3 linked regions of the Arabidopsis thaliana genome follow. The protein of the gene in region 2 interacts with the protein of the main gene of each other region in a biochemical or structural test. Each region holds a gene or a part of one and is shown on either strand. Other genes may lie near its edges.

Region 1 (6,933 bases), about 14 Mb from region 2:
GAAGAAGACAAAAAATTACCAGAATTTGCGATATCCCAATCGTAGTGATAGAGATTGGTAGGGGTTTGAAGAACGTTATAATAAGGAGCGGGATCAGGAGAAGGAACCACGGAAGAACTATAAGACGAAGAAACAATGTTCCTTCCATCGTCGTGAGAAACCTGCTGGTGGTGAAAGGAACAACGCATTTTAAACCTAGGATGGTGGTTTTACAATAATTCAAAATAGAAGAAGAAGAAGAAGAAGATTGAATTAAATTACCTGTTGGACGCCATTATCAGCCATCACTGGTCTTTCCCCTGCGAGAGAAGTCAACATATCTCGTCAGAAGTAGAAACAGAACATCAACGGCTCTATAATGTTCTAGGGTTTGGGTTCAATTGGGGGATTTTGTTCATGGAGATCGAAGAGATACGAAAAGAAAAATGAGGGGGAAAAGAGTGTACCAGAAGAGACGATTCGGTTGCGCTGATTTGAGGAAGAAGAAGAAGCGGGATCCATGGAGGAGATCTGAGAGAGCGAGAGATCGGAGAGGTTTTTGTGAGATTAGAGAGGAGAATTTTGAAAGACTATTGCAACTGTTGTGGGCCCGTTATGAGTTAATACGAAAAATATTAGAGAGGTTCCTTCCTTTTAAAGCGGTTTGGTTTTGAGCCTTTTCGTTTTTCAATGTTAGTAGTAGTAGTCCCATTAACTGTACCATACCACTTTTCTTCTTCAGATTTGTGCAATGCTTTTTTCTCACAAAGTCACAATTCCCCTTAAGACAAAAATTCAAAAGAACATTTGTAACCAATGCAGAGGTTGAATTAAATTATCATAGATTCGAGTCTTTGATCCGTTACGAAAATTTGAATGTTTAGAGTGTCTGTACTCGACTATTTGTCACGAAAATTTGAATATTTAGACTGTTTAGATTTTACTAGCCGTTACGAAAATTAGAATGTTATAGAGTATCTAGATTCGATTATAAAATCTTGAGTTTGTATTCTTTTTCTTTTGTAACGCCTAATTCATTGATTGCATCGAAATGAGAGTCGATACAATCAATGTACATTAAAAGTATGCAATACATATACACATCAACATACATAGTTAAACTTGAAAGTAAGCCGTGAAAAATTGAACTTATATAATGTTTTCCGATACAATAGCTTTACTAGTTAACAAATTATTAATTATGTTAATTTTATTTATATAATTTTTTATCCCAATATGATGAAACTGTCATTCTTAGCTAACATCTCTTGGATAAAAACTACACATTACAGAAAAAAAAAACCAAAAAAAAAACTACACATTAGTCTAAATGATTTATGGTATATTATCTTTCACCAGTTTGTTTGTTTTTCTGATTCCATTATCGCTAATGTGGCATTTATTAATTTGTCACACTGCAAGCTCTTTCCATGCCTTATACGATCACGAACATTCATAAGCTGTGGGCCAACTTTGAGTGCAAAATGGGACTTCAAAGGCCCTACACTACTTATAGATGAAAGTGGCCATTTGGTGAGGACTGTATGACTTTCGTGTTTACCCAATTTTCACATTCGTGCTTCAAATCTATCCTTGTATGTGTGTGTGCGTCTTCTCTATTATTCCATAAAATGCATGACCAAAATCATTGATCTTTTTTCCCACATAACAAAAAAAAAAAAAACTAAAACCTGACATGGAACAACTTATTCCTTGAGATATGTTCATAAGTTCATAGAAAGCAGTTCAAGTAGGGTAGACTATTCTATAGAGGGACATTCAAGAGTTGCATTACAGCTTAGAGAAGTGTACAACATGAGTTTGTTTTCTTCGCTTGCTTGTAAAACATCTGTTTCATCCAAACACCAAAACAAACCAATATTCTCATGTCAGAAACTATTTCATCTATCTCCCATTACCCTCAGAATCCACTGAAGAAACAGTAGTAAGTAATACTAGGGTGGAATGTTACCTTCGATGCCAGGCTTAACTCTGAGCTCTTCTCCACTAAGCTGTCCAGCTTTTCACCTCGGGCTAGGACACCATCAATGGTTTTATGCTGTAGTATAAAACAAAAGTCAGCATAAAACGACCATGTTTAAGCGACCTTGGAAACAAGAACTTAATGGAGGGAACTGGTATGTATTGGAATGTAAAAAGGAAGCAAAGCATGCAGGTCAACAATCAAGAACCAGGGACGGCACTTACAAGGATAATCTTGGTCTCATCCAATTCCCTCTGGATTTTCAACAGCTTATCAGCTTCTGCCGGGTCCTGAAGATATTCCAAAAAAAAGTAAGAATAATTGACACAGCAAATAGTTCCTAAAGTCTTAAACAAGATTCATAGATACAAAAAAGTTAGTGCTTCTAGAACCCGAAATTTGTCTGAAGCTTCTTTTAAGTATGGCCACGGCTGACTAGAGTTTTCAAACCTCCATGTGTCACCATAATCCTTCTGGTATACATCTAATACCTGTCAAAAACAGAATGCCAACGAAAGAAAAAATATTTTCCTTCAAACAAGACCGTACCAGAAGTTAGATTTTGTTTTGTACCTGATTGAGAAGAGAAAAGGCACTTCGAACGGGATAATGGTCGTCCATGAATCCTACGGCGCAGAGGCCATTTATGTTGTAAGCGTGCACTTTATACTCTACATATCAACACAGCGATGTCAATTACAAAATTATAAACAGGACACATATATATGACAGATCCAAGAGCCAAAAAAAAAGAAGAAGAACCTTCGTGTTTGACGGATTGGCGCTGACCTGGAGGGGTTCTTCTGGCAACAGTACGGGCAATGAATACAATGAACTCTTCGAAGTTAGAGCGATAAAAAGAGAATTTTCCGAATTGTGAGAGGTCGGAAACGTTGGCCAGGATAACGGGTTCGCGTGTTTCGGGATCGCACTTGAGAACGAGCAAGGCAGTGATCTTCATGACAAGGGTTCTGAATCATGAAACAGAACCAATGAAGTTCCAGTGAGTTTATTTTACTATGAGCTAAAAACGTAAAAAAAACAAAGTCACAGTTGGTGAGAGACTAATTTTGTTACTATACAATCATAAGACAGAAACTCGAAAAAAAACATAGCTTTTGAAACAACAAGGAGAGAGTAGACGAGATAAAGAGTGTTCGAGCAGATATGTTATAAGAGACAGAGAAGAAGCTAAAGAGAGAAGAAGCAAGATAGAGAGGTGTTACCGGGGCAGAGAGTAGACAAGACAGATGAGACGAGATCGACAATACGATGTATAGATGCAGAGAGGAGAGTTGAATCGTTGTTGAATTCCAGAGACCTTTTTAGTTAAGGGACCTTTCAGGGTTAGGCCATATAGAAAAAAAAAAATTAAAATTTTATTTATTAATATAACGAAATTATTTTTAATATTTGTTCGTGTTACTAATTTATATACGTAAGTGAAAAATGGAGGATATATTTTAGTATATATTTTTTTGATACGTCAAGGTCTCAATGAACGACAGAAACGCGGTAAGAGAGAAAGGAGAGATAAAAATAGGTGTGGATGAGTTGTTTGATCCATAAATGGGATGGCCAAGTTTCTTTCTTACTATTAATTAACTAACTTGTTTTTCTTCATTCCAATTTTGAAACCCCTTCTTTCTTTGGCCCCAAGCTTCCGTTTTTCTTCATCTTATTCTTTCAAAATCTCAAACCCATAAGGGAAAAAGAAGCATAAAGAGGCAGAAGAGGAAGGTGGTCATATGTTCTTGCTTTCGCCTTGTGAGATCTCTTTACTTGTCTCTCTCGCCTCTTTCACATTTTCTTAAATTTTAAAGTTTCTATCTTATGATAGCTTTTCTTTTGTGTTACAAACAGGATCAATCATACAGAGATGCTGAGGTTTATCATATTTTTCTCCCTTTTTATACACTTATGTGTTGCAGCCCCCCAGACTCCTGCTGCTGCCGCGGCGGTTCCTGCTAAGAAATGGCTCACCCTTAATGGTAAGTATCCTTCTCAATCCCCATATTACATAACCTGCTCTTTGTTTGTTTCTAAGAATCCGTACCTGTCTTTTATCTTCCAGGACAAGAGCCTGCCGTTGTGGCCAGAGGGGGCTTCTCGGGTCTTTTCCCTGAGTCAAGCGCCTCTGCAAACGACTTGGCTATTGGCACCAGCTCGCCTGGCCTCACAATGTTGTGCAACCTTCAGATGACTAAGGACGGTGTGGGCCTTTGCTTGTCAGATATCATACTTGACAATGCAACCACCATATCTTCAGTCTTCCCTAAAGCCCAGAAGACCTACAAGGTCAACGGTCAGGACCTCAAGGGATGGTTTGTCCTTGATTACGATGCCGACACCATCTTCAACAATGTCACTTGTATGTCTTCTTCTCTTTCATTTCATCCCTTCAATGCTCACCACCACGACCACACATTTTCATCTTTTATGTTATTGTGCAGTGGTCCAGAACATCTTCTCTCGGCCTAGCATCTTCGACGGCCAAATGTCGGTTTCCGCAGTGGAGGACGTCCTTGGAACCAAGCCTCCCAAGTTTTGGTTGAGCGTTCAGGTATGTTTTCTTCTCTTTGAGAACATGATTAACCAACATATGGAGCTTTTTTGTTGATTCATCAAAACAACAAACAATGCAAATGTGCAGTACGATGCCTTCTACATGGAACACAAGCTGAGCCCAGCCGAGTACCTGAGAAGCTTGCAATTCCGCGGCATTAATGTCATCTCATCTCCAGAGATTGGTTTCTTGAAGAGCATCGGGATGGACGCGGGCAGGGCCAAGACAAAGCTCATATTCGAGTTCAAAGACCCAGAGGCAGTTGAGCCCACCACCAACAAGAAGTACAGTGAGATTCAGCAGAACCTCGCAGCCATCAAGGCCTTTGCTTCAGGCGTTCTTGTGCCCAAAGACTACATTTGGCCCATTGACTCAGCTAAGTACCTTAAGCCCGCCACCACTTTTGTGGCTGATGCCCACAAAGCCGGTCTAGAGGTCTATGCTTCAGGGTTTGCCAATGACTTGCGCACCAGCTTTAACTACAGCTATGATCCCTCCGCTGAGTATCTCCAGTTTGTGGACAATGGCCAGTTTTCTGTTGATGGCGTCATTACTGATTTCCCGCCAACAGCATCACAATCCATCAGTGAGATGACTTGCTATATACGTTTCCTCAGATAGCTGATTATTAAGAAGAAGCTAAAGCGTCTGTTTTCTTGCAGCTTGCTTTTCTCACCAAAATGGCAATCTCCCCAAAGCAGGGCATGCGTTGGTTATAACTCACAATGGAGCAAGCGGAGACTATCCAGGCTGCACTGATCTGGCTTACCAGAAAGCAGTCGATGATGGAGCAGACGTGATCGACTGCTCTGTTCAGATGTCTAAAGACGGAATCGCTTTCTGCCATGATGCTGCAGACCTTACAGCAAGTACCACCGCCATGACTATTTTCATGTCCCGAGCCACAAGCGTTCCTGAGATCCAGCCTACCAATGGCATTTTTTCTTTTGATCTTACATGGGCTGAGATCCAGTCTGTGAAGCGTAAGAAACTGATTTGTTTTACTATAGACTTCTGAAACTATCTCATTCTCAACTAAGTCACTGAGCATTGGGATATCTTTGTATTCAGCACAAATAGAGAACCCCTTCACTGCCACGGGCTTCCAGAGAAATCCAGCAAACAAAAACGCTGGAAAGTTCATTACTCTTGCGGATTTCCTTGACTTCAGCAAAGCAAAGGCTGTCACCGGAGTTATGATCAACATCGAGGCAAGACTTTGTAACTCCAAAATGCTTCTAAATTTACTCAAGGCAGCTTCTAACGCATTGTTTGTTGACAGAATGCTGCTTACCTAGCCTCAAAGAAGGGCCTAGGAGTCGTAGACGCAGTTAAGTCGGCTCTGGCCAAGTCCACACTCGACAAGCAATCAACTCAGAAAGTTTTGATTCAGTCAGATGACAGTTCGGTCCTGGCCAGTTTTGAGGCTGTCCCTCCGTACACGAGAGTCTTGAGCATTGACAAGGAAATCGGAGGTGCTCCCAAGCCATCAGTCGATGAAATCAAGAAGTACGCAGAAGCTGTCAATCTCTTGAGAACTTCCCTAGTCACTGTCTCCCAAAGTTTTACCACAGGGAAGACTAACGTTGTGGAGGAAATGCACAAAGGGAATATCTCTGTTTATGTTTCAGTGCTAAGAAACGAGTACATCTCCGTAGCGTTCGACTACTTCTCTGACCCTACAATAGAGCTTGCCACATTCATTTCAGGGAGTGGCGTTGATGGAGTCATCACGGAGTTCCCTGCCACCGCTACCAGATACTTAAGTAAGTTTAAACCTCGACAAGGTCATGAAAGAACAATAGATATACAAAACAAAGATAAAGCTGATCATTTATATTTGATGCAAATGCAGAGAGTCCATGCTCAGATTTGAACAAAGAACAGCCCTATGCAATCTTACCAGCAGAAGCCGGTGGTCTAGTCGTCGTGGCAGACAAGGAAGCACAACCACCAGCTAGTGCCCCAAACCCGCCTCTTGAGGCCAAAGACGTGATTGATCCGCCTCTGCCTCCAGTTGCAAACTTGGCTGCCTCCAATGCAACTGGAGGAGCTCAGTCACATCCTCCTCCTGCTTCAGGAACCGTTGCCAACGCTGCAAATCTCGGTCTTTCCTTGCTGGCAATGTTGGCCTTAGGAGTCTAAAATAAAGATTGATGCAAAAGTTTGTAATATGAAATCCTCTCGTTGAGACACATATGCTATATGTTTTTATCATACGTTACGACAATATACATACACACACATGCACACTACGATCAAAGCTCTAAAGAAGCCTTCCTTGTTGTGTCGGGGTGTTGATTAGCTCAGAAATTGGAATCTTGATAATCTACCAATTCTTATTTTATATCTTTTTCTATTATCGTGACAAACCTTCTCCACAACGTTTTTCTGCATCTAATGC
Region 2 (7,707 bases):
GAAAATAAAATAAATTATTATATCTGTGGGAGTTACGGAGTTGAGAGGGAAGTGTGATTTAAGAAAGTAAAAAGACTATGCACTAAATAAATAAATAGTACATACTGCTTTATACTCCATATACGTACACATGCAAATTCAACTACTTAGCTTTCGTTTATGGGTTATCTACTAAAGTACTAATCCTCTTTTAATATAATTAATGAAGTAATCTTAACTATAACTTTGTATAGTTTAACTTATATTAGGTACTAACTAGATCCGGCCATGCAGAAAATTATACAGCTAAGACTAAAAAGGATATGAATTTCACTTGTTTTTCAATTTTTGATAGTAACTCATACTCCATTGGCAATAAAACTACAAGGCCTTAAATGATTGTGGTTTTTCAAAAACATTTCTCCAAAAAAAAACAGGAAATCTAGTTTTTTGAGTGGTTTTAAGTATGTTTCCAAGACAAATTACAATCCATTTCCATATTTTTTTGGTTTTAAGTATGTTTCCAAGACAAACTAAAATCATCAATTAATTACTTAAATAATTAATTAAGTACCAAAGTTTTTTCTCTCTCTTCTCTTTCTAAATTCTTTCAGAGAGAGAGAAACCTCAAACTCACTTTGCCGTCCGAATTTTTTTCCGGCTACCGTCTTCTCTGATAGGGATTATCGTCTGGCAATTACCAGTTCTTTCCGGTGTTGGCCAGCTCTTGTCCGGTATCATTCAGCTTTCACAGTGATGATGGTCGGCTATGCCGTCAGCGTTCTTTTGCTGCTTTTTGTTTTTTCATAAATTAGCTTTGCTTTCAATAAATCTCATTTGAGATGTGTTGGTGATAATGATAGAGCGGTTTTCGCTTTTTGTTACTTATTATCTAACCTGTTTTTCTTTTTGAGTTTAGAATTGCAGGAAACAAATCAGAGATTTGAGTTGGAAAAAAAAGTGATTTCCGTTGCATATTAACATTACCTTGAGCTGTTGTTTCTCTAATTAGGGCTTCGATTATTTTTACCGGTGAAAACCCATAAGATTCCATGTTTGATTTGTTAATCGACGTTGAATCTTCACCGGAGTCGATGTTTGACGGCGAAGGATGAAGTCGGGAAAACTTTGGATTCTCATCCAGTACGTGTATTGGTTTCTCTCCAGCAGAAGACACGTGGCTTTGGATAGAGACAAAAGATAATATTTCTTCTTCCATAGACGGTTTCTCTGTTGGGCTTTAGTTGGGCCTAATATGTTTCTGTAGCTTTTTTGTTCTGGGGTATTTCATAATCCATGTAATATTTGACTTAAACAATAAAATTATCCCTATTGCGAAAAAAAGACTAAAACCATCAACTACTTTTTTTCATTTTATTTTTGTAAATAAATATATAACCAATAATTGGTAAACATCCATTGTAAATAAGATAACTATATTTTAAATGATAATTGGTAAACATCCATGCACATGTTGTTTGAGGTTTTTTTTTGGTTATACATGTTCAAGGATTTTATTGAAGCACTATATATAATATAAGTTTTAAATTTATTATATACATGCTACATTTAAAAAAGATAAAATATTATCATAAATTTTAAAAAATTCTTAGATATGTAATTTATTATATTTAAAGGTAATTTAAAGAATCATTAGAAACAGATAAAAAAAATAATGTGCTATCCAGGATAATACTATCTTTTTTAAGCGCTGATATAATCATTATTTAATTTTTTTTTTATATTTTTCTTTTAAAAACCCTCCAGCTAATTATCTACAAAAATAATAACACAAATTTAATATTAAAATTATAATTTTTGTCAACAGTATGATTATAATATGGGTTTGAACCATGATAATGACACAATAACAATACAAGTTCAATTAGGCTATTTGGCATGACCAATTTCAAACTAGAGTTGAGAACTTGAGATGTAATTTAATTCATATTAACTCATCACAAAAACGTGTATAAAGTTTTCATTGTTTCAAGTGAAAAATATTTATACATTTGTAAATGATATATGTTTTTAAAAGAACTAGAATGTTGAGAATTTGTAATTTATGCGAAGATACAATAACCGGAAAGTAAAAGATTTCAAACAAACTCGTTTTCACATTTGAATACTCCACCATGTAGTGCTCGCAGCTACGATTCCATCTTGCCCGAAATCTGGTCACTCCAATGAACGTCTTCACCGGAAAATCCACAAGTTACAATGGTCAAAACCATTTTGTCAAAAACAAGTTCCAACAACTATGACTGGAATCTTATACATTTTAAAAGAACACTTGACTTTAGCGTGAAGAGAGTATTTTGGCGTTGGTGCACAGATCTCTCAACTCCTCAGACATCGACCTCTGACTATCTATGGTCTTCTTCTACACAATAATATTACGTACTAACTACTCTGCAAAGGATCTTAGTATTGTTAAATGCAAAGAAGTTGAAACCAAAAGCCCTGAAGGAAAACATGCGATGTTCGGGGCTAAAGAATGAAATAGTTAAGGATCGAACTTTTCTTATTGATCTAACCAGGGATTATAGTATCCGATCACAAGAATATTTCCTTGAGGATTAAGAGTAGCAGCATGATGAAACAGAGGATGACAAGCACGGATGCGCACTTCACCATACCTCCATGTCTCTGCGTTCGCTCTGCCTGTGAAGTTTTTTTATGCGATCCACTTCATTTAGAATTGGGACAAACAAATAGTTGGACATTAATGTTGAAGAGAGAACACTATTTTTACCTTCTGTAGTTGTTTGAGACCATCTTCAACAGTAGTAGCGACGTTTTCGATATTATAGTCTATCCGATCAACTATTGTACCCTGCAATTAAACGGGTTGCTTTGAGTTTGTTTTTCGAAAGGAAGAAGACTCAAAAGCTAGACAAAGAGAATATGGGATTAAATAAGTTTAACCTGATCTATCACAAGTGCAGAAAGATCCTTCATAATTTGAGCAAGATCGTTTACTGATTCTACAACCTGGACAATGACACAGACAACGAAGAAGAAAAAAGATTATGATTGATTGCAAAAGAAAAAAAAAAACGTTGGTGAGCTACAAACAACTAAGAACAAAGACGTAGTGCAAGCACTTGCCTGTTGTATCTCTTTCTCCCTCTCTACAGATACTTCTTCACTCTTTTTTATCTTTGACATCTGATGCTCGTTTAACTAAAAAGGAATCGAGAAAAAATTCCATCAATAAAGAAGACATAAGACGAATGATTGCTTTAAATCGATAGAATGAAACAGGTATAGGAGTCAAACCATATCGCCAAAGTCATCCTCTTCAGGTCTATATCTGTTTCTGCTCAGATTCATCTCTAAATCCATCCCATCCTGATAAATGATAATACATTTCAAGTCAAAGCTTCTTGAGAGGACAGAATAATATACTCTGAAAAAACAAGTACTAAAAGAATCTATCATCTATGAAATCGATGTAAAGAAGTTTCATTTGAGGCGGAGGAGCAGAAAGCAAACAAAAACTTCAAAGAATGAGACACTGCAACATCACATAGTTTCCGGTATAAGAAATGCCAATTACACTAAAATAGATAATAGTTTCATACCTCTTTTTGCTGCCTCAAGCGTTTCAAATATGTTGACTGTTTTTTGCGAAGCTCCATAGAAAGAAGTTGGAGGTCAGTGGCAAGAGACCGCTGTTATTAAACACACATGATAAATCTTAGATAGCAATGGCAAATGCAGCAAAAAGAAAGGAAATGTGTTAAGAGCAGCTTCCATCAAGTCAAAACTACCTGCACATTTTTCCTAACATTTGAATCTTCAGAAGGCCCTGAAGCAGAAAGCCTCTGAAGTTGCTTCTCAGACTTCTTCAATAGAAAAGTTATCTCCTGTGTCAAAGACTCAATATTATGTTGATCTTCTTTACCATCCCCAAACGATGGCATTAACGCCTTGGCATGAGCCTTTCCCAACTCAGCCATTTTAGTCCTTGCACGCTGTATATTCACAGATATCTCCTCAGAGACATCAACCCAAGCTGGTGGTAAGCCCACTGTTATCGCACCTTTACTAAAACATGACCAAAAATATCTCAGTAACTACTAACTCTCAGCTTAACGTAGCTCACAGACATTTACTTCAACTACACTATCAATGATGTATTATCATTCTCATTGCTAAGCTAATCATTTCCAGTTAACCCTAATTGATCAAATTGTTCACCATTTTCACTGATAAAGAGAGAGAAGAGTACCTAGAAGTTCCAGGATCTTCGGTACTAATAGGAGCGTAAGAGCGATTCGGATTCAATAACGAAGTACTCGCCATCTCGATCACCGGACCAACGCCGCCGGATCGTGTTCCCGTCAATGAAGATGACGACAATGGAGCTCTGACGCTTCTCAGAGAGTTTCTGTACTTCCTAAACAGCAACGTACGATTCCTCGTCGCCATGATCGTCAAAATTTGAAATCCCTAGAATCTCAATTTCACATCCAAATTCGAAATCAGCTCCGATCTGAACACAATCGCGGCTTCATCATCGACCGAGAATAAAACCGAACACAAAAATTGGGACTCCGACAAGGAAGTGCTCGGAGAGCGGCGAGATCAAAACTTTTTCCGATGAGGAAAGTAAACTCTCAGATTTGCAAATTGAGGTTTTCACTTTTCACTATTTCCCCAAAACTTAAAACTTTGGAAACAGTAAAAAAAAAAGTTAAAAAACAGTTGCGCGGCTAACTTTGTCCTGTTTCACCAGCTTACCAAATACAAACCAATAATATTTCGACACGTAAGCGTCGTACTAACAGCATGACGTTTTGATATTCCAAAAGGGAAAAACACGGCGGGTAAAAGGTTTAAACGGCATGCATTCGTGCGGGCTGTTAAAAAACAATTTAATACATGTAATAGAACTCATCTCTTCTATGTCTTTCACTCTCTCTCTCTCTCTATATCCAAAGAATTAAAAACCATAATAAAAAAAGAAGATAAAAAGACGAATTCCAGAAAAAAAAGACGCAAAATCGTCGTCGTCGTCTTCGTCTTTGCATTTCGTCGGAATCTTTTGATTCTTGAATCGGAATATCTCTGTTTTTGTTTTATCCGGACTCAAGATCAATTCGGATTCTTGGAATTTATTTGATTTTTTGTTGTTGTTGTTGAAAAAGTGGATTCTTTGGTTTCGATTTGTAATAATCTTCGTAGAAAAAATGGATTCTGATTCTTGGAGTGATCGTCTCGCATCGGCTTCAAGAAGATATCAGCTCGATTTCTTGTCTCGATCTGGTGAGTTTGATAAAAATTATAACTTGGATTTGTTCTTTCTTAATTTGAGATTTGATTGGTTTTGTCTTAAATTTAATCTTGATTCTATTGCAAAAATATCAATGATATTTAGACCTCAAATTTGTTTTCTTTTGAATTGATCAAGGATCGAGATTGACTGTAAGAGATTGACATTTTTGTTACTGTTCTGGTTTTCCGAACAAAATGGGACAAGACATTGATTGTGTCTTGTTCTGAATATTTGAAATGGTGATTGTTCAAATGTTTGTTTTGCTGATATTGAATTTAAGGAAAATGGAGGAAATAAATTCTGTCTTTTGAGGCATTTTACTAATGTGAGGCTTTAGGGATTGATTAAGCGTGTGTGTTTTGTTTCTAGGTTTTGGTATGAACTTAATGTCAAAAGCTGGAATCTTGATGATTCTTGTTTGACTTACAAGTAAATACAAAACTTCTTGTTGGTAAAAACGTTTTTAAAAGCTTTAGTTTCATCTCAAACTTAGACGTCTTTGCCAGGGAAGGTTTTATGATCTACTAGTTTCCATTCGTTTATTTAGATATCTTTGATGTTTCTTCTGAAACCCATTTGTATTGGAACTTCGAGAATGGAACGCGTTTTTAGTATTTCCCATTTTATTTTCTAGGCTTTTGTTTTGTAGTTGTCATTTTATTTTCTAGGCTTTTGTTTTGTAGTTGTCACATTTTCGAATGTTCTCTTGGCCGTGTTTGACTAGTTTCTTCATTTTTGAAAAACGCAGACAATTTCTTGGGGTTTGAGGAGATAGAAGGAGAAGATGACTTCAGGGAGGAGTATGCTTGCCCGTTCTGTTCAGACTATTTTGATATCGTCTCTCTATGCTGTCACATTGATGAAGATCATCCTATGGATGCAAAAAATGGGGTAGATATTTCCTCAATGTTACCTTTCTCTCGTTTTGAATCAAAATCTATTTATTGTTTCATCATATCATTCTTGGTAAGAGCACTGTTCTATGTTTAGTAGTTACTGGTCTTGGATATAAAGAAAGTGAAAGTAACCTAATGAAATGCGTCGAAATAGTATTTGGAATTGCCACTCAGTGTTCCTCAGAGAAGAAATCAACTCTAGGACACTTGTTTATTGCTACAATAGCAAGATTTGTTTTCAATTCTGCGTTTTGACATTGTTAATCTTGTAGGTATGTCCCATTTGTGCGGTGAAAGTGAGCTCTGATATGATTGCTCATATAACCCTACAACATGCAAATATGTTCAAGATATCCTTTTTGCTCTCTCTACCAGTTATATTTTTAACGATCATGTACTTATCTGATTCTTCCAATGAGTTGTGTTAATGATATGAATACTTCCTGATTTATGATTTAGGAAATAGTTTAGGATTTACTTTTCCTAGAGTCTTTTATTTATGTTCTGTTAGAAGTAAGGGTTAGGTTTTGTTTGTGAAACCTAACCAAGCAATTGAGAGCTTTGGAGGATTCTATTGAGTTTATACTCTTGTTGCTTTATTGTTCTATCTTTTCTACTATCATAATAAAGATTTTATCTCTAACAGTTACATTCCTTAACAAAATATTACGTGACGCGGAAAAGGAAATCAAGAAGAGGCGGGGCTCAATCCATGCTATCGATCTTGAAGAGAGAGTTTCCTGATGGAAATTTTCAGAGCCTATTTGAAGGAACATCACGTGCTGTATCCTCTTCTTCTGCCAGTATAGCTGCTGATCCTTTACTGTCTTCATTCATTTCACCAATGGCTGATGACTTTTTCATTTCTGAGTCAAGTCTATGTGCAGACACAAGTTCTGCCAAGAAAACATTGAATCAGAGTTTGCCTGAAAGGTATGCTTCCACATTCTCATTTGGATTACACTTCTGGATGATATCCTCATTGATTTCTTGATCATTCTTGTTAAGTCATCGCATATTACTCATCCTTAGTTTTTATGAGCCTTAATGGAATTTAGTTGATCCCTTGTTTTACCAATAACCTAAAAGCTCTTGTGATCTGAGTGTTTTTTTTGTTGTTGTTGTAGAAATGCAAATTGCAGAGTTTGTTATGATGGTTCTTGTCTTGATCTGTCTTATACAGGAATGTTGAGAAGCAGTCTCTTTCAGCAGAGGATCACAGAGAAAAGTTGAAACAGAGCGAGTTCGTTCAAGGGATATTGAGCTCTATGATTCTTGAAGACGGCTTATAAAGGAGAAACATATTCCGGTAACTTGTCTACGGTTAGATGATTCAGCGATTGGAAAATGTAACGGCTTTGTTGTGTTAAACGCAACAATTGATTTGGGAAAGGGTTTGGGAATAAGCAGAATAATGTAAAAGAGAGACATGATAATGAGTATTATTTTTAACTTATGAACTACATATTTGCTTTAATGAACACTCGAATTGTCTGTACACCGTAGGTCTTACAAAAAGAAACCAAAAAAAGGTATGTATTTGATCAT
Region 3 (7,048 bases), about 14 Mb from region 2:
AGGAGTCCCAAAGCCATCATTGCCAGCAAGGAAAGGCTGAGATTAGCAGCAATGGCAACGGTGCCTGAACGAGGAGGAGTTTGTGGCGGACCACCTTCAGTTCCATTGGAGGCCAACTTTGCAACTGGAGGCAGAGGCGGATCAATCACGTCTTTGGCATCAAGAGGTGGGTTTGGGGGAATAGCTGGTAGTTGTGCTTCCTTGTCTGCCACGGTGAGTAGAGCTCCAGCATCTGCAGGTAAGATGGCATAGGGCTGGTCTTTGTTCAAATCTGAACATGGACTCCCTGCATTTGCATCAAATATAATTGATCAGCCTTATCTTGGTAATGTTTTTGTTTTTTGTTTTTTTGTAGAAGTTTAAACTTACTTAGGTATCTGGTAGCGGTGGCAGGGAACTCCGTGATGACTCCATCAACGCCTCTCCCTGCAATGAATGTTGCAAGCTCTATCGTAGGATCAGAGAAGTAGTCGAACGCTATGGCGATGTACTCATTTCTTAGCACCGAGACGTATACAGAGATATTCGCTTTGTGCATTTCCTCTACCACATTAGTTTTCCCCGTGGCAAAGCTTTGGGAGACGGTGATGAGGGAAGTTCTCAAGAGATTGACAGCATCTGCATGCTTCTTGATTTCTTCGATGGATGTCTTAGGAGCATCTCCGATCTCCTTGTCGATACTCAAGACTCTTGTGTAAGGAGGGACAGCCTCGAAACTAGATAGAACTGAACTGTCATCCGACTGAATCAAAACCTTCTGGGTTGATTGCTTGTCGAGTGTGGAATTTGTAAGAGCAGACTTGACTACGTCTACGACTCCTAAGCCTTTCTTCGAGGCTAAATAAGCAGCATTCTGTCAACAAAAACAGTGTTAGTGGAGCTTCCTTGTGTTAGTCAAGGAGCATTTGGAAGTTAAATGGCTTGCCTGAATGTTGATTAAAACTCCGGTGACTGCCTTTGCTTTGCCGAGCTCAAGGAAGTCCGCAAGAGTCGTGAACTTCCCGGCGTTCTTGTTTGCGGGGTTTCTCTGGAAGCCCGTGGCAGTGAAGGGGTTTTCTATTTGTGCTGAAGACAAAGATATCCCAATGCTCAGTGACTTAGTTGAGAATAAGATTAGTTTAAGAAATCTATAGAAAAGAAATCAGTTTCTTACGCTTCACAGACTGGATCTCGGCCCATGTAAGATCAAAAGAGAAGATTCCGTTGGTAGGCTGGATCTCAGGAACGCTGGTGGCTCGGGACATGAAAGTAGTCCTGGCGGTGGTACTTGCTGAGAGGTCTGCAGCATCATGGCAGAAAGCGATTCCGTCTTTGGACATCTGAACAGAGCAGTCAATTATGTCTGCTCCATCGTCGATTGCTTTCTGGTAAGCCAGATCAGTGCAGCCTGGATAGTCTCCGCTTGCTCCATTGTGAGTTATAACCAATGCATGCCCTGCTTTGGGGAGATTGCCGTTTTGGTGAGAAAAGCAAGCTGCAAGAAAACAGACGCTTTAGCTTCTTCTTAATAATCAGCTATCTGAGGAAACATATATAGCAAGTCATCTCACTGATTGATTGTGATGCTGTTGGCGGGAAATCGGTGATGACACCATCAACAGAGAACTGGCCATTGTCCACAAACTGGAGATACTCAGCAGAGGGATCATAGCTGTAGTTAAAGCTGGTGCGCAAGTCGTTGGCAAACCCTGAAGCATAGACCTCTAGACCGGCTTTGTGAGCATCAGCCACAAAAGTGGTGGCGGGCTTAAGGTACTTAGCTGAGTCAATGGGCCAAATGTAGTCTTTGGGCACAAGAACGCCTGAAGCAAAGGCCTTGATGGCTGCGAGGTTCTGCTGAATCTCGCTGTACTTCTTGTTGGTGGTGGGCTCAACTGCCTCGGGGTCTTTGAACTCAAATATGAGCTTTGTCTTGGCCCTGCCCGCGTCCATCCCGATGCTCTTCAAGAAACCAATCTCTGGAGATGAGATGACATTAATGCCGCGGAATCGCAAGCTTCTCAGGTACTCGGCTGGGCTCAGCTTGTGTTCCATGTAGAAGGCATCGTACTGCACATTTGCATTGTTTGTTGTTTTGATGAATCAACAAAAAAGCTCCATATGTTGGTTAATCATGTTCTCAAAGAGAAGAAAACATACCTGAACGCTCAACCAGAACTTGGGAGGCTTGGTTCCAAGGACATCCTCCACTGCAGAAACCGACATTTGGCCGTCGAAGATGCTAGGCCGAGAGAAGATGTTCTGGACCACTGCTCAATAATACAAAACATGAAAATGTGTGGTGGTGGTGGTGAGCATTGAAGGGAGGAAATGAAAGAGAAGAAGACATACGAGTGACTTTGTTGAATATGGTGTCGGCATCGTAATCAATGACAAACCAGCCCTTGAGGTCCTGACCGTTGACCTTGTAGGTCTTCTGGGCTTTGGGGAAGACCGAGGAGATGGTGGTTGCATTGTCAAGTCTGATATCTGACAAGCAAAGGCCCACACCGTCCTTAGTCATCTGAAGGTTGCACAACATTGTGAAGCCAGGCGAGCTGGTGCCAATAGCCAAGTCGTTTGCAGAGATGCTTGACTCAGGGAAAAGACCCGAGAAGCCCCCTCTGGCCACAACGGCAGGCTCTTGTCCTGGAAGACAAAAGACAGGTACGGATTCTTAGAAACAAACAAACAACATGGTATCTTAAGTCTTAACATTAAACAACAACAAAAAAAAAAACATGGTAGTATGCAATATGGGCATACTCTGTAAAAGGATGCTTACCGTTAAGGGTAAGCCATTTCTTGGCAGGAACAGCTGCGGCAGCAGCAGGAGTCTTGGGTGCCGCAACAGAAGAGTGTAAGAAAAGGGAGAAAAGAATGAAAAACCTCAGCATCTCTATCTGATTGATCCTGCATTTGTGTGTAACGTACGTACCCCAATGGAAAAGCAAAGTCAGGATACATGTAACAAAAACAGAATTGTCACATTTAAGAAAATTGTGAAAGAGAGATCTTACAGCGAGAAAAGAACATGAATCCCCTCTCCTGCTTGTTTTCCTCGTTTAGTTAGAGGAAAGGAAAAAGAAGAGAAAGAGGAGATGGGTCAAACAAGGTTAATTAATGGTAAAAAAAAGTAACTTGCTCTCATATCCTCCATTTATGGCCATTTACTCCTTTCTATTTTTATCTCTTCTTCTCCACCATTCCCTTCTTAACCGCTTTTTCTTTTTTTGATGCTTTCTTACATCTTCTTTGCACAAATGGGTGTAACACCCCTCAGTTTTGGACTTTGTACTATATTCATTTGTCATACATGTATGTAGTTAAAATGACAATATTAGAGTTTGGCATTCGGACCAAACCAAGTTGTCCGATCTAAACCAAACCAATATTCCGTTAATAAGAAAACTCGATTGGCAAAAATTAAAATATTCTTTGGTTTCAGTTTTTGCCTAGACTTAAAATTCTTAAAAATCCAATTCTATGTGATGGAAAAATCTTTGATTCCGGTCCAATTCTGCATCAATATATGCTAAACCGAACCGAGACTGCCCACATAAAATTGAATTGAACCAAAGGTTTTTAATTTTTACTTCAACATAGCGAATAAGAAAAAGAGGGTATATATTCATTATTCAATGTTAATGAGAAGGCGTCTGCGTTTGGTTCGACACCTCAAAACTTGTTTTGCCTTTAGCATCTCCGAGTAAGGAATCCAGGTCCAAAGCCTCTTCTCTTCCTCCTCCTCGCTTCCTTCTCACGCAACCTTGGATCCACCGCAGCTATGAAGATCACCGCCTTGCTCGTTCTCAAGTGCGCTCCCGAAGCTTCTGATCCCGTCATCCTCTCCAACGCTTCGGACGTCTCTCACTTCGGTTATTTCCAGCGATCTAGCGTCAAGGAGTTCGTCGTCTTTGTCGGTCGCACTGTCGCTAGCCGAACCCCTCCTTCCCAACGCCAGTCTGTTCAACACGAAGGTTCTTCTCCTTCTTCTTCTACCTCTCTAGATCGATTGTTTTCAAATCTTCTTTCTCCCGGATCTAATGCAATCTCCTTTCCTCTTTGATTTTTATTCGATTTCTAAATTCGGATCGGCTTTTCGATTTTGAAACTTTTATGATTTAGGATGTGCACCGTTTCTGATTCTAGATCTTCCTGGACTATGCCCCGGCTTTAATTTCTTGCGATTCTATCTTATTGTTCTAGTCCTCGAATTTGGGATAATTAGGGTTCGTGTTTTTATTTTGTTTTTGGTTTAGAGTACAAGGTTCACGCTTACAATAGAAATGGCCTTTGCGCGGTGGGTTTCATGGACGATCATTACCCTGTTCGAAGTGCTTTCTCTCTTCTCAATCAGGTAATATCATTATGTTGAAAGTGGTTCTCAATGCATCATTCGTAAGTTTTCCTGTAATTTGGGTTGCTTGACATTTAATTTTGTCTCAGGTCCTAGATGAGTACCAGAAGAGTTTTGGTGAGTCATGGAGGTCTGCAAAAGAAGACTCCAATCAGCCTTGGCCATACTTAACCGAAGCTTTAAACAAATTTCAGGTTCTTCACTTGTGCAACTGTATTCGCTCTTTTACTGTGAATTTTGTTAAAACTGTAGTTATATTAAGCTCAGTTAGGTGGACATTAGAATCCAATCGAATGATTCATTCTTCATGAATTAATTTTAGTAGCCCCCATTGTTTTATGACCATGTTGGATTTTGAGTGATTTGATCTTAAATTGATTTTGGGATTGTCCCGTATTTGTAATCTTCAGGACCCAGCAGAGGCTGATAAGCTGTTGAAAATCCAGAGGGAGTTGGATGAGACAAAGATTATCCTTGTAAGTGCTGTCTCCGGTCCTTTCTTGTAGACCCTTATACATAAGCGGTACTTCCTTTTCTAAGTTTCAGTATACTTGCCAATTATACATAAATGCTGTTCTGTCGGTGAGTTTACTTTCTTCTGAAAAACACCAAAACAAGAAGAAAGTCTTGGTAGTTATGATGGATGTCCCTGTCTCCGTAAGACTGATTTTTTGTTCTGTATTGTAGCATAAAACCATTGATAGTGTTCTAGCCCGTGGTGAGAAGCTGGACAGCCTAGTGGAGAAGAGCTCAGATTTGAGCATGGCATCACAGGTAACATTCTAAAGTCACATTCTAGAAATTCTTATAGATTTAGTTTCCTTTTTTCCCTGTCTCGATCTCTGAGCATAGTTGGTGAACACGTTAGAAAGGGTTGTTGATTTAGCAGGCTTATAAGTGTTGTTGATTGATAGAGGAACTATTGCATGTTATTGTTGGGGTAGATAAATAGAGGAAGAATGTGGATTTAGAATACCTTCTTTGAAAAAGCTTTCTGCTTCAGCCTGCAGACATTTGAGTGCAGTTTGAACTATACAGTTGGATTTTGGAATTATTAGGTTTGCTACGAAGAATCATAGTGTTTTTTGCTATATCATCTGACCATGGGGAGGAACATATGTATTAGTCATATCCTCTGGAATCTCAAGATATTCTTCGTTATTTAGATTAGGTAAACCATGTTTACTTCCAACATGAAAATCTGATTTGGTTGTATTGGTTGGAACAGATGTTTTACAAGCAAGCGAAGAAAACAAATTCATGCTGTACTATTCTGTGAGCTGGAAGTCCTGCTGGGTATATAGTCAACCAAACTTTTGCTGGGGGGAGACTGTTTTTTCTATCGTCTTATCTATACATATAATTCCGTCTGTAGTTTGCATGCATTATTTTGATTCCATAAGTCTCGAGTCGTGTGGTGTGTTTATCCAAATACATAATGTCAACTTCTGCAAGATTTGAATTGTCTTTCCCAGATTTGATCTGATTGAATTTGTGTGCGCTTCCTTATGGTAAAAGAGACGACTTTGCATAACTAGATGAAGATGTCGTAAATAGACAAAAGCAGATGATGGAAGATAACTAGAGTAGACAAAGGGGGTAGTATATTACACAGACAAAAGGATCAAAGAGGTGAAACAAAGTCTTTGTGTGCCGTGTAATCTATTTGCCGAAGAGAGATTTGAACCACCAAACGCCCTTGGAGTCTTCAGGGGCAGTGTTGGACTCAGGTGGTGTGTCACTCTGAGGAGTCTTGTGAAGCTTGCTGATGTCATAACCTTCCTCCACTGCCTTCTCCACCAGCTGCTTATACGTCTCTTCCTCCATTTGCGCCGTCCTGCTCAATATCTACACCACCCACATATACAGAGTCAATCATTTTTGGGATCAATTTCGATTATTCGTTAAAGAGAAAAAAAAAAGAGTACCAACCCAGAGATAACTCCTGGAAGGCTGGCCAATGAGAGCGTGCTGGTAGTCAGGATCGATGTAGAGCACCCAGTAGTCTCCGGTGACGGGAATGATTGGGAGGAAAGGAGGGACATAGAACTTGACTTTGAGCTTGGCTTCGTCGCTTTTAGGATCGGCCTTATAGGCGCTGCCTTCGATAAAACCCCTCTTCCCGTTGCTCCACGTTTCGTTCAAGACGTGTATGGTACCGTCGGGGTTAAGGGTGTAGGTGGCGCGAGTGTCGACGCCGTTCTTTGGCTGAAACCTTGATGGGAAAGAAGCAATCTCGTACCAACGGCCCATGTATCTCTCCACGTTGAGCCCTTTCACCACTTCCATCTCTTTCTTCTCTGTCATTTCTCTTCTTTTTCTTTTCTTCTTCTCTAAGATTTCGATGTTTTCTTTGAGGTAAAAGGATAAGAAGAGATTCTGTTCTTTATAAGGAAATAAAAAAATAATATCAAGGAGATTTCGCTGGGACGAGAGGATGCCACGTGGAAAGCGTGTAGGGCAAGGGTTCTAGTAGCGTCTAGCAGTTACAAATGTGAATAAAGGTGGAGGACACAAATGTCTTCCTTGTTCTGTGGGAAGAAGGATACAATACAATGGGCCATACAGTCACATTTTGATTTGACTTCCTCTAGCCGTTTCTAGGCCCCACCAAATTATCCTATCGACATCTAAATATCTCTTCTTGTTGACACTTCAAAATAGCTCCATATGTAAACCAACGATCTCAATTAGGCCCATTACTATTCG

The links. Proteins that work in one complex are often made in the same cells at the same time.
Region 1: the proteins of SYP41 (region 2) and ATYKT62 form a complex in vitro, tested with the Arabidopsis thaliana proteins (one study listed by BioGRID).
Region 3: the proteins of SYP41 (region 2) and YKT61 form a complex in vitro, tested with the Arabidopsis thaliana proteins (one study listed by BioGRID).

Annotation. Positions count from the first base shown.
Region 1 is NC_003076.8:23,540,002-23,546,934, reverse strand, and holds ATYKT62 (Synaptobrevin family protein), read right to left. Parts: upstream 3,284-6,933; 5' UTR 3,190-3,283; intron 2,935-3,189; 5' UTR 2,925-2,934; coding exon 2,726-2,924; intron 2,635-2,725; coding exon 2,537-2,634; intron 2,455-2,536; coding exon 2,356-2,454; intron 2,254-2,355; coding exon 2,188-2,253; intron 2,039-2,187; coding exon 1,952-2,038; intron 1,829-1,951; coding exon 1,778-1,828; 3' UTR 1,650-1,777; exon of another isoform or gene 1,645-1,649; intron 1,294-1,644; 3' UTR 1,175-1,293; downstream 1-1,174. Other genes in the region: ECT10 (evolutionarily conserved C-terminal region 10), read right to left, coding at 20-164, 262-299, 447-501; SVL5 (SHV3-like 5), read left to right, coding at 3,843-3,954, 4,038-4,334, 4,417-4,526, 4,617-5,115, 5,192-5,512, 5,601-5,740, 5,812-6,295, 6,385-6,674. UniProt on the Arabidopsis thaliana protein: Involved in the secretory pathway. Essential for membrane fusion mediated by either SYP41 or SYP61; triggers the fusion of phospholipid vesicles containing SYP41 or SYP61 and VTI12.
Region 2 is NC_003076.8:9,486,189-9,493,895, forward strand, and holds SYP41 (syntaxin of plants 41), read right to left. Parts: upstream 4,905-7,707; 5' UTR 4,417-4,904; coding exon 4,217-4,416; intron 4,033-4,216; coding exon 3,756-4,032; intron 3,657-3,755; coding exon 3,567-3,656; intron 3,334-3,566; coding exon 3,262-3,333; intron 3,166-3,261; coding exon 3,091-3,165; intron 2,974-3,090; coding exon 2,908-2,973; intron 2,816-2,907; coding exon 2,735-2,815; intron 2,644-2,734; coding exon 2,536-2,643; 3' UTR 1,945-2,535; downstream 1-1,944. Other genes in the region: AT5G26970 (uncharacterized protein), read right to left, coding at 872-1,198; AT5G26990 (Drought-responsive family protein), read left to right, coding at 5,178-5,253, 6,012-6,154, 6,432-6,509, 6,830-7,092, 7,343-7,451. UniProt on the Arabidopsis thaliana protein: Contributes to the regulation of secretory and vacuolar transport pathways in the post-Golgi network, and to the maintenance of the Golgi apparatus and trans-Golgi network (TGN) morphologies. Together with VTI12, required for membrane fusion.
Region 3 is NC_003076.8:23,494,511-23,501,558, forward strand, and holds YKT61 (SNARE-like superfamily protein), read left to right. Parts: upstream 1-3,628; 5' UTR 3,629-3,766; coding exon 3,767-3,959; intron 3,960-4,107; coding exon 4,108-4,181; intron 4,182-4,241; coding exon of another isoform or gene 4,242-4,249; coding exon 4,250-4,339; intron 4,340-4,428; coding exon 4,429-4,533; intron 4,534-4,749; coding exon 4,750-4,815; intron 4,816-5,026; coding exon 5,027-5,113; intron 5,114-5,550; exon of another isoform or gene 5,551-5,567; coding exon 5,568-5,618; 3' UTR 5,619-5,874; downstream 5,875-7,048. Other genes in the region: SVL4 (SHV3-like 4), read right to left, coding at 1-286, 370-853, 926-1,065, 1,154-1,474, 1,551-2,049, 2,140-2,249, 2,332-2,628, 2,765-2,876; TIL (temperature-induced lipocalin), read right to left, coding at 6,002-6,187, 6,272-6,646. UniProt on the Arabidopsis thaliana protein: May be involved in the secretory pathway. Essential for membrane fusion mediated by either SYP41 or SYP61; triggers the fusion of phospholipid vesicles containing SYP41 or SYP61 and VTI12.